2 linked regions of the Drosophila melanogaster genome follow. The gene in region 2 interacts genetically with the main gene of each other region. Each region holds a gene or a part of one and is shown on either strand. Other genes may lie near its edges.

Region 1 (7,616 bases), 2.6 Mb from region 2:
TTCTGTTAAGTGTGTATCTTTTAAGTTTTTGTTGCTTTAGCTTTACGAGTAGTTTTGTTAAGTGTTTTCCTTGGTTTAAGAGTTAATTTAATTCGAAAGCGACTTCAACTATGGGGTAAACATGCACACACTCATTGAAATTTTTGCAACTTACAATTAACCATTTGCTAAAATCGAATCCGAGTTCATATTATACAAATATTGAATATCTCTGCGTGTACGCAATATACATATACATATATCTGATGTAATTTAGTTATCGAGTGCTCGCTTCGGCCGGAAATCAGCGCAATGTCTTAGTTTATATACAGGAACTTAGAAGGTATCAAAGGACACGACACGACGAACATTATACGACAAAATTTATCCTAGACTGCGGAGTGTGTCTTCTTGTTTGCGGAGCTGTGAGGGGTCCGAAAATTGTTAAACAATTTCAATTTGTGTTTCAAGAACATTTATCTGGGTCTAAAATGTGTTCTGCTGCTCAGCCTAACTCAGCCGCCTTGTGGCCGCTCTTAATTGGATAGGTATGGTAAAATCTACTACTCGAACGCGTGTATTCATAATTTATGCGGGGTTATATTCACTGACGTTTAAGTATATTCATATTCATAATTTATAGTTCGGAAAATTCATAGTGCTCGCCTAGGCTAATGAGAGCGTTGAGAGAAATACGTACATACATATATTTTCGTACAGTTGCGAATTTCAAGTGCATCTGCTACTGCTGCTGCTTACTCTTCATCTTACTCGTATCTATATTCAACTACCGAACTAAGCTGCATTATCGTGTTGGGGCTTGGATCTCTGGGATCCGTAGAACTGACTTAATAATAAACTGCATTTGCATCAACGTCGGTTGGTCACACATCAGCGACGCCTGCGCACTTCTGGGCAGTTGCTCATCCACATCCTTGCTCCTCATTGTGGTCACATATTCCTATCCCGCATGCTAGAGATCTCTGGTTTTTGTACATTTAACCGACTGAACTCGGCCTGGCTGGAATCGCCCTTCCAATCGCTGGACTAGCATGGAAAGTCCATGGCCAGCTCGTTCTTGATTAGATGATGGTGATTCGGATCGGACATGGGGTTGGGATTCGAGCTGGGGTTACCCGAACTCGGATTGGCTAACTGCTAGTAGGTGGCAAAGCCCATGGCGCCAGCGCTGCTGTTGTCCAAGGGTCACTGGTGCATCTTGGCGGCATGGTGACCCATGTTCAGGCTAAGGTTCAGGTGGTGGCCGCTGTGGTGCTGCTGGGTCGCCTGCGCGTGGTTGTGGTTGCTGCTCGAATTGTTGTTGTTGTTCTGCTGATTGGCCTGGCGCTGTGAGTTCTTCTTGTTCTTCATGCGCCGATTCTGGAACCATATCTTGACCTGAAAGGAACGCCTGTTTAATGAATTCAGTTCAAGTCAGTAGGTTTATGGACTCACCTGTCGCTCGGTCAGCTGCAAATTTCTGGCCAATTCCCAGCGCTTTTGCTTGGAAACATACGCATTGAAAAGAAACTCCTTCTCCAGCTCCAGGGTCTGGAACTTCGAGTACGGCTTGCGCTTTTTCCGGACGGACACCTGACCGGTCCACTCGTGCAGTCCGGGATTGGGCGTGCAAGGACCCACTGCTCCCACGGATAATCCACCAGAGGCTCCTGAAAACATCATCAAGTAATGGGGTTAAACTACATGGTTAACTTCATTAAACCGCAAGTGCGGGTGGTCCGATGGTTTTGTTGCTCGGTGTTCGGTGCAATATCAGATCGTTAAGTTTATAGAGCAATTACGGAAATTGTTTAGCAATAAGCGTAATACGAAATTATTCAATTCCTCATTTATGGCCTCTTAATTGGTGCGGTACGGGGAGCGGAGCTCCGAATTGGCATGAGGCCCATATTCACACTCGAGTGGATAACACTAAATGAATACATTCGTTCCCGCTCATTGGCCGACCAAATGAAGCAATTAAATTAATGTTGAAATAAAGTGACAAGTTGGATTTATTTTAATTTAAACGCTAGTTCAGCACGAGTGAAGAGCTTTTCGAATCTAATCTGATTTCTTCGATTAGTCTTGGTAGCATTGAACAGTTAGGACAGTTAGGTCAGATTGGAAATTAATTATCGAGCCTAAGAGACCTGAATTCCAATTGTAAAATTGGCTGGCGAGGTCACTTAACTGACATATTCCGCCATAATAACGAGTCTTTACTATGGATACCATGGATACTACTGGGAAAATATGACTAGTCGACAGATACAATTCTGGCAGTTGAAAAACACCTGGTGATAAGACACGAACATAAACAGGCAACCCCATAGAATGCAAACCCCAATGACTTTCGCACCCACATAAAGGCGTAACGCTAGCCAAATAGCGAGTATCGATTTATGGGCCGTTTTGCACTACGCTAATTGAACGACAAACTTGACGGTTTCGCAATTTGCTATTTCAACCGATACGACGACGAAAAGTCTAGTGCACATAGGAAAATCAAATAATCTTGAACTTTATATTGTAGGATGCTTAATATTTTAGGGCTGTTTAAATAATTGGCTTGGCTTTTAGGAAAAAAAATAATAGCACCATATAAAAAACACTTCCAAATAATTATCGATTCATTGGAAAATTTGACGGTCTATAAATATATATTTTACAATTAAAAACATTTAGGTGGAATTTGAACGCCTCTTTTTAAACAGAATTTTGAATTCGTATAATTTTTCACTTTAATTTAATTTCATATGAATAACCAAATATTTTATTAAAAATTTTAAGAATTGTAAACAGTAAATTTTTAATTTTTAATCTTTAAAATTTCTCCTCCCAAACTAGAGTTGCAAGATGCTCAAAATTATTTCCAGTGTGCCTAACCTCGTTACCCTTAAGTGTGCCGACTCTGGCCGGTCTGGACTCACCTGAGCTGGAGTAGTTCTCGCTGGGATAGCCGCGCAGGCCGCCTGGCGAGGAGTAGGTGGGCGGCTCATAGCTGGACGTCGATGTGCCCTCGACGGACTGTCGGGCGGCGGCGCTCACGTGGCGCTCCGCTTCGTTCATGTAGGCCGCCGCCGCTGCGGCAGAGGTGGTCTGATCGGGGCGGTAGTTGGGGCCCCAGTACTGCTGCGGGGGAGAAATGAGGTCGGGTTGGAACGAAGTTGCTTACAACTGATGTGGAGGCGTGGGTGGCGCTGTGGCCATACTTACACCAACCGGAAACTGCGTTTCTGGGTAAGGATAGGCGAACATGTGCTTGCGGTCGTAGTACCCGGAGCCGTAATGCTGATTGAATCCCTCGTCGTTGTAGGCCCAGTGTGCCGTGTGCCGCTTGACCGCCGCCGAGGTGTCCGTCTCGAATCCCGGACCGGCCCGGATGGCGGGTATATGCAGTGGCGCTAATTGTATGGACATATTGATGTCTGAAAGTAAACGATAAGCGCAGATTTGCTGCTGTTAATATTGGCACTAGGGCTGGTAAGTCTAATTTTAACGACTGTCTATGATCAAATCGACCTCCTTGATCATTTGGCATTTTATCACTTGGCGTGGCATTTGTGCCTATAACCCTTAGATTGTTTGTCGATGTCATGGATGTGGGTGCATTCACACCTCGTCTATATATAAATCTGTATATTTAACACGTGTCAACACTTAAGGTAATAAAATGGTTACCATAACGATTACGTTTCAAATCATCGTTTAATTTTTTTTTTTGTGTAAACTCTTTAAAAAAAAACCAATGCAGTTTTGAAGAACTTCAGTACACTCACAAACAATATTTTTAAAAATTTTTAATTTCCTTACAAAATTAAAGTTGTTACCACCCTGCAATTATATAGTCTATAATGATAAAACAGACGCAAATATTTTGAGTAAATAAATTAAATGCGTGACGATTCCTGGGAGAGTTAAAGAAAAGCCTTATCAGCCTTGAAAAACGTGCTGCAATCAGCACAACTGAAACGTTATTGCAACTGGGGGGAAAAAAAAACAAGTGGAACGACCCCGTTCCCAATTTAACGTCCCCAATTTATTTCGAGAGTTTTCCAGTTCAGATGTAGAAAATTTCAAAAAATATATTTCCCAACGATCTTTGAAAGCCCATAACCAATGGAGTTCCAATAAGAAATCCGCTGGTTTTCAACCCCAAGGAAAGTTATATTTCTGGGACCTCACCTTCCTTCTGAGAACTAACACTGGAGGGAGAAACACTCGCCGTGGTCGGCGCAACGATCTGCGTCTGGCCAGGAGCAACTGCAGCATTCTGCTGTTGCTGCTGCTGCTGGAGATTCGAGGAGGCGCCGCTGGCGACACTGTTCGGGGTTTGTTGCTGCGGCAGTTGCTGGTGGTGGGGCGATGTGAGATGTTGCTGTTGTTGGGCGGAGGGTCCAGTGGGTGTTTGGGCAGGACTGAGGGCGCCGGCCACCGGTGTTGTCGCCAGCTGTTGTTGCTGCTGTTGCTGCTGCTGTTGAAGTTGCTGCTGCTGCTGCGGAGCGGGGAGGTGTTGCTGCTGTACGGCGACAAGTGGCACAGGCGGAGGATCCTCGTACATAACCGCATGCGTGGGCGTGGAATGTGTGGTGGGAGTTGACTGCTGTTGCTGCTGCTGGAGCACCGAGGAGGGTGAGGAGGCGACGACTGCATGTTGCTGCTGCTGTTGCTGCTGCTGCAGGTGGGGATGCGCGCTGTGGTGATGGCTGGTGGTGTGGAGAGGCTGAGGCAGGTGGTGGTGCGCATGGTGATGCAGTTGCTGCAGATGCTGCTGCTGCTCCTGCAGATGCTGCTGCTCCTGCTGCTGCTGCTGCTGTTGCTGCTGCTGCAGATGGTGCTGCTGCATGACGGGCAGGGAGGGATGCGCCTGGGGATGCGGATGCGGGTGCGGGGCGGTGGGTACGTGGGTGTGGGTGTGTGTGTGATGCCCCCACCACGCCCCGGCAGCGGCGTGCGACCCGACTGCCGAGACATCGTGGGGGTCGTAGAGAGCGCACGCCAGCGGGATGGTTGGGGTTTGGGGGAGGGGTGGAATATTTACGGTTATCTTGGACGCGTTGCACTCGAACTGCGGCGGCGAGGATAAAGGCGGTGCAGTGGGGTCGATCGCCTCGACCCACCGACCTTTCTCTGTCTTTTTTTTCTCACTCCTCTGAGTGACGCCTTTCTAATTGTTTAAGTCTCTTTATATTTTTTTCGCGACTTAATAATTTTTATTTTTAATATTCAGAGCACCTTTACTCGAGTTTTGCCCCTTTTATTTGCGTACCGCACACGCACACAAACGTCCGTCAGCGGTCACACGCACACGCCGACTTACTCACACACGCACACTGCCTAAAGAGCGGGCGAAGAGAGTAACTTTGTTGTTGCACAGGGGATCGAATCAGCTTGAATTTCACAGGGTGCTTGCGGTCGTCAGCAACTCACGCAGTATTTTCAAATTGGCTTTTTTCAGTTTTCATTCGGTCAATCCAATTTTCCAAAACTTTTCCAATTTTTCCTTTGTCAGTTAATGTTTTCTTTTCACTTTTCTTTTTTTTTCGGTTGGCGTTTGTTTTTGATTTTCTTCTCTCTTTTATAATTATCATAAATAGTTTATTATTTGTGGGGCCTGCAGTCGTTGTTGTTGCTGCTGCTGGCGTTCGCTTTTTATGTTGCTGGTCATAAAATTTGATTTTACGACCAAAACAAACAATTAAAGGCAATGTTTGCAACAGTTAACAAAAATGTTATTATTTCTCCTCACAACGCCGGCGACACGATGTTTTGATTGTGTTTTTTGTTTTTTGATTTAATTTTTTATACGACTCCAAAAACGTTTCTTCTTTCAGTTAAATTTTTCGAAAATGTTCAACTTGTATTTTTCGAACCGTTCGAACGAAACACTCCCAGTCGAATGTGAATGTGAATGGACGGCGAGTACGAAATCGTTCAAGTCCCAGTCCTCGACGAAGTTGCAGGGCCGCTTGCCTCGGCTGTTGTTGTAGTTGCTGTTGTTGCTGCTGGACGCCCGCGCGCCTTCCAACCGAACAGAGCGAAGCACAAATCTACACTGACGGCAGCAACGCGCACGGCGACAACATATCCACATCGCTGGCACGGCACACCGACAACACAAGACCAAGACCAGAACCAGAACCAGCACACGAACACAAACTCTAAGCGCAGCGGCGCCAGCCCGCTCCAGTGTGTGTGTGTGTGTGTGTGTGTGTGTGTGTGTGTGTGCCTCCCCGTCCGTGTGACTTGGAAGAGAGCGCGGACATGCGCATGTTGCACAAGCACTCAGATTGATGGTGGTGGTGGTTGATGTTATGTTGATGGCAGTTGGTGCGGCTCTCTTGTGGCGCGTTATGCACACGTACACTGTATACAGCGTCTGTGTGGATCCCAGACTGTCAGCGAGTGTGCGTGTGTAAGTGGGGGGAGCCGAAGAGAGTTTTGGATGTTGCTGGGGGAAATAGCACTGTTTCAACTAGCGCCTTCAATGAGGTAAAGATGGTATCGCACTTCGACTGGGACTGGCTCTGGAATTCGCTGAGCTCAGCAGGTGCTCCAAGTCACAGGGGGTCATCGAGGGCGAAACACACACGCACAGTGTACGTGTGAAGGCATCCGCTCTTCAACGAACAAAAAACGCTCTCAGACTCACCGCCCGCTCTTACTGCCCGATTCTGGGGGCTGATTTGAATACTTAACACGCGCGCACCACAGCGCCATCTATGTCCGAGATTTCGATGGAATGGGGGCGGGGAGGCGTGGTAGATGGCACCACATTGTGTGTAGTTAGTTGGCTTGTTGTTGGCGCTTTTTATCGATTACCACAACAGCAGCAACATACAGAAAAACTCACTGCATAAAGACCATGGATCGCGACCAATTATACGAGTCGTCAAGCGCAGTGACTAATTAATGCTAATTAGTTAAACAAATACATGCGTGCGCCAGTTCAGTCAGCAAATTATGACAGCCCAATTGTTAGGAAACCCCGGGTCTCTTTTCACCCCTATCTCAACATCCTTTCTCCCTTTTGGCTCTTCTACAGATTCCCCTCCTTGTCTCACTTCCAAAGGCAGTTGCCAAATTTTACGCTGCAATGGACAATTATGGGAATTTTATGGCAATTGCCATTGGAAGAAAAGCAAAAGGCACGCAGTCGAGGCCAAGGAAATGTTAACAAATCGTAAAAAGGATGCGATGAGAACAACTCTCAACCCGTTTGACAACAAAATGTATGTACAATCGCATAAAAATCCATACTTAGCAATTACAATAATACATTTGAGCAGGGGCTTAAGAAAATGTCAGAAGTCATCGCGACTGGAGACGAATAATATTATTTCTTATGTGAAATCAGAACATTCATTTTTAATTTTTCACATCACGCATTTAGTTGAAGAGTCCAACTGCTTACATAACAAAGTTGATCAAGTAAACCCCAAAAAAACTTCAAGAATTCTACTTATAATAATACAAAACTTGTAATTAACTGCCGCAATCTATTTCCAAAAATAACTTCTTCGATTGAAATTATTATTCAACTTTTTTATTTATAAATAGAAATAAAGTATGATTGACATTTTTCCTATTGAACCACTCTGCTAACACGCAGAATTATTTTAAAGGGATAAACT
Region 2 (4,793 bases):
TCTTTGAATTAATACATAATTATTTGATCAATAATTGGCAACATTAACCGCAAAATTTTTCTCAGTACAACAATGAGAGAGCCCAGAGAAAGCAGCTGTAGAGGTGGAATCAACAAATGAGCGTGAGCCCCATTCCCCAAAAACAAAAAGAGCGGCAGAGAGCACACGCGGGGGAGTGTATGTTTGTATGCTTGTGCACACACACATACACCGTATTTGCTTGTAAATCAAAACACGCAGCCAAAGGTGAAACATGAAAAATGTGCGCGCCAATAAATGTGCGAAAGGTGTCGTGGTGTGGGTGCCGCATGGATTGGTGTTGGGATGGATGGATAGAGATGGTCGGATGGATATCTGTATCTCTGTGGGCCATGAGCATTGGGCATTGAATATTGAGAGCCGACTTGGCAGCTCGCAATTTTGATGTCCAATTTGCCACGAAACATGAACTAAATACTTGTACGCGAATGTTTGTTTGCGTGTGTGGGCATCTGGTTTCGTGGTGTTTATGCTGTGTGTTGGTGGTGGTGGTAAAAGGTAACGAAACACAAGGTAAAATAAATTCAACTCAGCTGGCAGCTGCAGCCTCTCAAAACGCACTGTAAATAAAGGTGTAAATACAGCTAGCTGGTAGCAACAATGCAAACTAATAATTCGGCCACCGAAGCAAATAGAAATCACACCTACAGTGATCGCTCGCTAAGCGAAGCATTGTAGTGCTCATGTTTTAGAAAATAGATTATCTTGGAGAAGAAGAACAAATAAACAAATGACTTTTTTCGATTTTACAATAGGAATTATGTAAACAAGGATATTTTAATTTAAACCCGTTGAAAATGTCCCATCAAATGATCTTAAAATTTGTATTTGTGAGTAGACCCATCCGAATTCAAATGTGCAATGATTCTGTGAGGCGTGATCGACGAGATGCGGACGCAGTGGAGCGTGAAAATGCATTCGGATGAGCATCGGTTGGCCCGCATCGCATATTCATTCCCATTCAAGATCTCGCATTAGCTTACGGCTCAGTTGGTCGACTTTTGAAAGGCGAATTTTAATATGCGCAATTACTCATTTGGCGATTTTGCGCCTCAATGTTGTTTGGCGCGTAGTTTCCCACACACAAACACACAGGCATCGACACTAGCCGATTTGGAATTTGCCTTTTTGATGGCAAATAAAAAAATGGCGTCAACAAATACTCAAACAGCCAATGTACAAGTACATATATTTATTTTGTAATTATTCAACAGCTTCTAGGCAGCGAACGGCAGCGGCAATCGATTTAGCTCCTGCTGCTGCTGAGATCGTTTTTCATTTTATTGTATAATTTATTAAAAGTTTCAACAGCGCCAGCAACAAAACAAACAGCAATTTTAGTTATACAAACACTTTGGCCATGTGAGCCCAATAGAGAGAGAGAGAGAGAGAGAAAGAGACGGTGAGAGCGAGAGAGTGATTTGATTTAGAATGAGGCGACAACAAAAGCAATTAACTGGTCACACATTAAGTTTTATTTATCGGCGATGCTTTATTATAGCTCGCCGCTGTGTGTGTGGGTGTGTTAGCGACTGTCATTTACCGTTCGTTTTACGGGTGGTAAATAATGGAAAACGTCGTAGATGGAAACTTGCAGTAAAATCCCCCTGGCTAACAGAAAACGAATAATATTGTTTCTTATAAGAATGAAATATTTGATGGATTAACTTCAGGAGTCATATGATTATATGATAATAGATGTACTTATTTTAAGCAAAAAATATTTCGCCTCCTCTTTAAACTGTTAGTATTAGATTAAAATAAAAATATTAACTAATGAATTCGTTGTTAAGAAAGTTGTTATTAAATCAACAGGTTTTCCAGAAACAAGACTTGCTTACTAGTACTACAAAATAGAACAAAACTAAATCAAAAATGCTACCATCTGCTGCTAGTCGCACTCAACGAGGTCCCACTGTAGACATAAATCGCAGCGTGGGCCATAAACTAACAGTATTTGTTGTGCAGCCTAATTTGCATTATCGAGTGAATAATTGAACGACACTTTCCTATTCTTTCTAGCTAAAAACAACAATCTAAACTACTGACTAGAGGTCTACAAAGGTTAGTGGGGACTTTATGAATATGAAATCGACGGGATGGGATATGATAATGTGATGTGGTGTGCAATGGTGTACAGTATCTCCGGGTGCATTCCAAATCAATATCTGGCATGCTTATATATGTGCGCAAATATCCATTGATATATATTCACGGCAGACTGACTCATCGGCAGCCGGCGACGCCTTTTATCGCGGCGATCTTATAATTACCTTGCTGTCGAGCGTGTATCCAGATGCAGATTGAGATTCGATACCGTTTCAGGGGTTGTTGTTACCATTTGGCATCCTTGGTGCACGAATATAATACGAAAACGAAAATAATCCACACTTGGGACAATTTCACAACAAAACGGGACAGAAACACACGCACTCAAAACACTAGTAAACACAAAATACAGGGGTGGAGATTGCGATTTTCGTTTTTATTTTCGTTCACTTATTTCTTGGTTTTTGCTTTGGCTCTCACATTCGCCGCTCTCTCACTCTGTCGCTCTGCGCTCACAAAACAAACGCACAGGTACACGCACACACGAACCGAAATGGCCCGCTCTCTTGCTATTTCGTTCTCTCTCTCGCGCCCGCGCGTTTCGTATATACATATGTTGCTACGTATGCGCGTGTGTGTGTGTGCGGGTGTCTGTATGTATGGGTTTTACGACGATGAAAAATGCCTGCTTCTTCTTCACAGAAATCAGGTTTTCTGCTCTCGATTTTCACACTTTTTTAACAATTGAACGCCACAAATTCGATGTAATTTCATTGGCAGACACTGCATACCATATTCACACACACTATTTAGCACAGTTTATCAATTATTTTCCACATTTTCTGCGTTTTTTCGACGAGCGAAATGGAAATAGCAAAGCAAAACGACCGGACAGTGTGACCGCGCCGATAACTATAAAAAATACTGTGAGACTTACAAATAAATTCATGTGTGTGCAGACCTGGTCACACCGATATTTTAGTAGGGTGTCTCTGCTCTGCGGGGTGTGTGTCTTGGTTAAATACGGAATGTGTCTCTGCTAGTTCAAAGACAAAAGCGTATTGCTACAAAACAGTATTTTTCAAAATTTAAAACCACTTTCGGTGTAACTGCTAATTTGTTTAATTTGTGGTAATTAAAATGTTTAGAATGGAGTGTACAAAACACATTAACCTTGAATTTTTGAATATCCAATATTATCACACTTTCCGTTCAATATAATTTTTAAGTACCCTTCGGTATCTTATTGGGAAAGAAGGAAAGAAAAGAAACCGCTTCGGTAAACAATTTAAAAAACAGGAGATTTTCCTAGTCCACATTCTAAGTGGCAAATATCAATCACCTCATTGGCAATTCCATTATGCCAGTATATGAAGTTCGGATTAGTTGCGATTTCATAATGAAGCCATAATGTGCGGACACACATAAACAACTTGTCAGCTGCGTCCACTTCGCATTTGGTTCTTTGCCAAAGTTATTAACCAATTTTTTGGGAAGACACCCAAAGGCTTTATGCATTCGCAAGGCGCGATGTAAACAAATAGATTTTGGTCAACGAATCGAACGTGTCCGCTCAATTAGCACATATTTGATTCACAATGTAAATCCAACTGTTGCCGGGCGAGAAGCGTAGGGCGGTAATTCGGTGGCTTAAATCGACGTCATTTCGACGACGTTTCACCGAAGTGAACAAAAAATTCGCAGGAAATTGAATCACTGAGCGCCTGTAAATTTCTTGTTCAGTGACAAAAAATGGTAACCCACATTCAGAAGATGTTATCTCACAAAAAGGCATTGCAATTAACCTTATTAGTATAGAAAGTTCACCAAGAAGGACGTGTTAATAGTTGTGGCCTGAATTTAGTAATTACTTATGTAAATAAAAATAATAAATAACTAAATATTATCAAAATAATATAATAAAATAAAAAAAGTAATAATAATGAAACTATAATCATAACAACCATTATTGCTAGTAAATGAAATAATTCAAATGAATGCTAATAATAGGTACTAAATCAATTTCCCTGGCATTCCTTCTATTAAACACGAAAACATAAACAAATTGATCAACTCCTTGTAACTTGGACTATCAGCTATTGGCAACACGGGCAGATCGAGCTTTGTTTTTGGCAGCTGACGCATTCCGCACCTCATGGTTAGTCGGTCCGTTTAGGTGCGCAGTGATAAGGGGTATCGATAACAATATATGTATATCTAACATGGATTACCTTGTACTGTGACAGTCATTCGGCGCTTATCTGGGCCGCAAACAACACGAATTCGTTGGCCTAATCATAATGAAAGTCTTGTTTTGACAGCAGCAGCAGAAGCAGCGGGCGTATAGCCACTATCACCGGATTTCCAAAAATAGTTCTTCAACTTTTACCGCAATCTGCAATGCAAACGATGACGTCCGCGTTGGTTGGAAAATTTCCAGCTCATCGCTGAAAAAGGGATTCCTCCACAGATCGTGGGCTTATCATGCATGCTAATTAATCCTATGACGAACTCGGGAAAAAAAAAACAATAAAACCTAATAGAAAACGCGAGGAGCTTGATAATCATTGTACTTGTGCACCTGTCGCCGTCATCCAGTTATCATTTAATAATCAAGATGAGTGCCAGAAAAACAGAGAGAGCTGCTTAAATGATTATCACAAGTTTGCGGGTACATACTTACATACATACGATTATTTGCGTAC

What was found. Genes that interact genetically often act in the same process or in processes that back each other up.
Region 1: of trx (region 2) and Abd-B, changing one suppresses a phenotype caused by changing the other (phenotypic suppression), as found in Drosophila melanogaster (one study listed by BioGRID).

Annotation. Positions count from the first base shown.
Region 1 is NT_033777.3:16,928,204-16,935,819, forward strand, and holds the start of Abd-B (abdominal B), read right to left. Parts: upstream 6,040-7,616; 5' UTR 4,829-6,039; coding exon 4,168-4,828; intron 3,411-4,167; coding exon 3,199-3,410; intron 3,115-3,198; coding exon 2,913-3,114; intron 1,650-2,912; coding exon 1,435-1,649; intron 1,378-1,434; coding exon 1,186-1,377; coding exon of another isoform or gene 1,027-1,185; 3' UTR 1-1,026. UniProt on the Drosophila melanogaster protein: Sequence-specific transcription factor which is part of a developmental regulatory system that provides cells with specific positional identities on the anterior-posterior axis.
Region 2 is NT_033777.3:14,283,897-14,288,689, forward strand, and holds the start of trx (trithorax), read right to left. Parts: upstream 3,008-4,793; 5' UTR 2,313-3,007; intron 1-2,312. UniProt on the Drosophila melanogaster protein: Histone methyltransferase that methylates 'Lys-4' of histone H3 (H3K4me). H3K4me represents a specific tag for epigenetic transcriptional activation.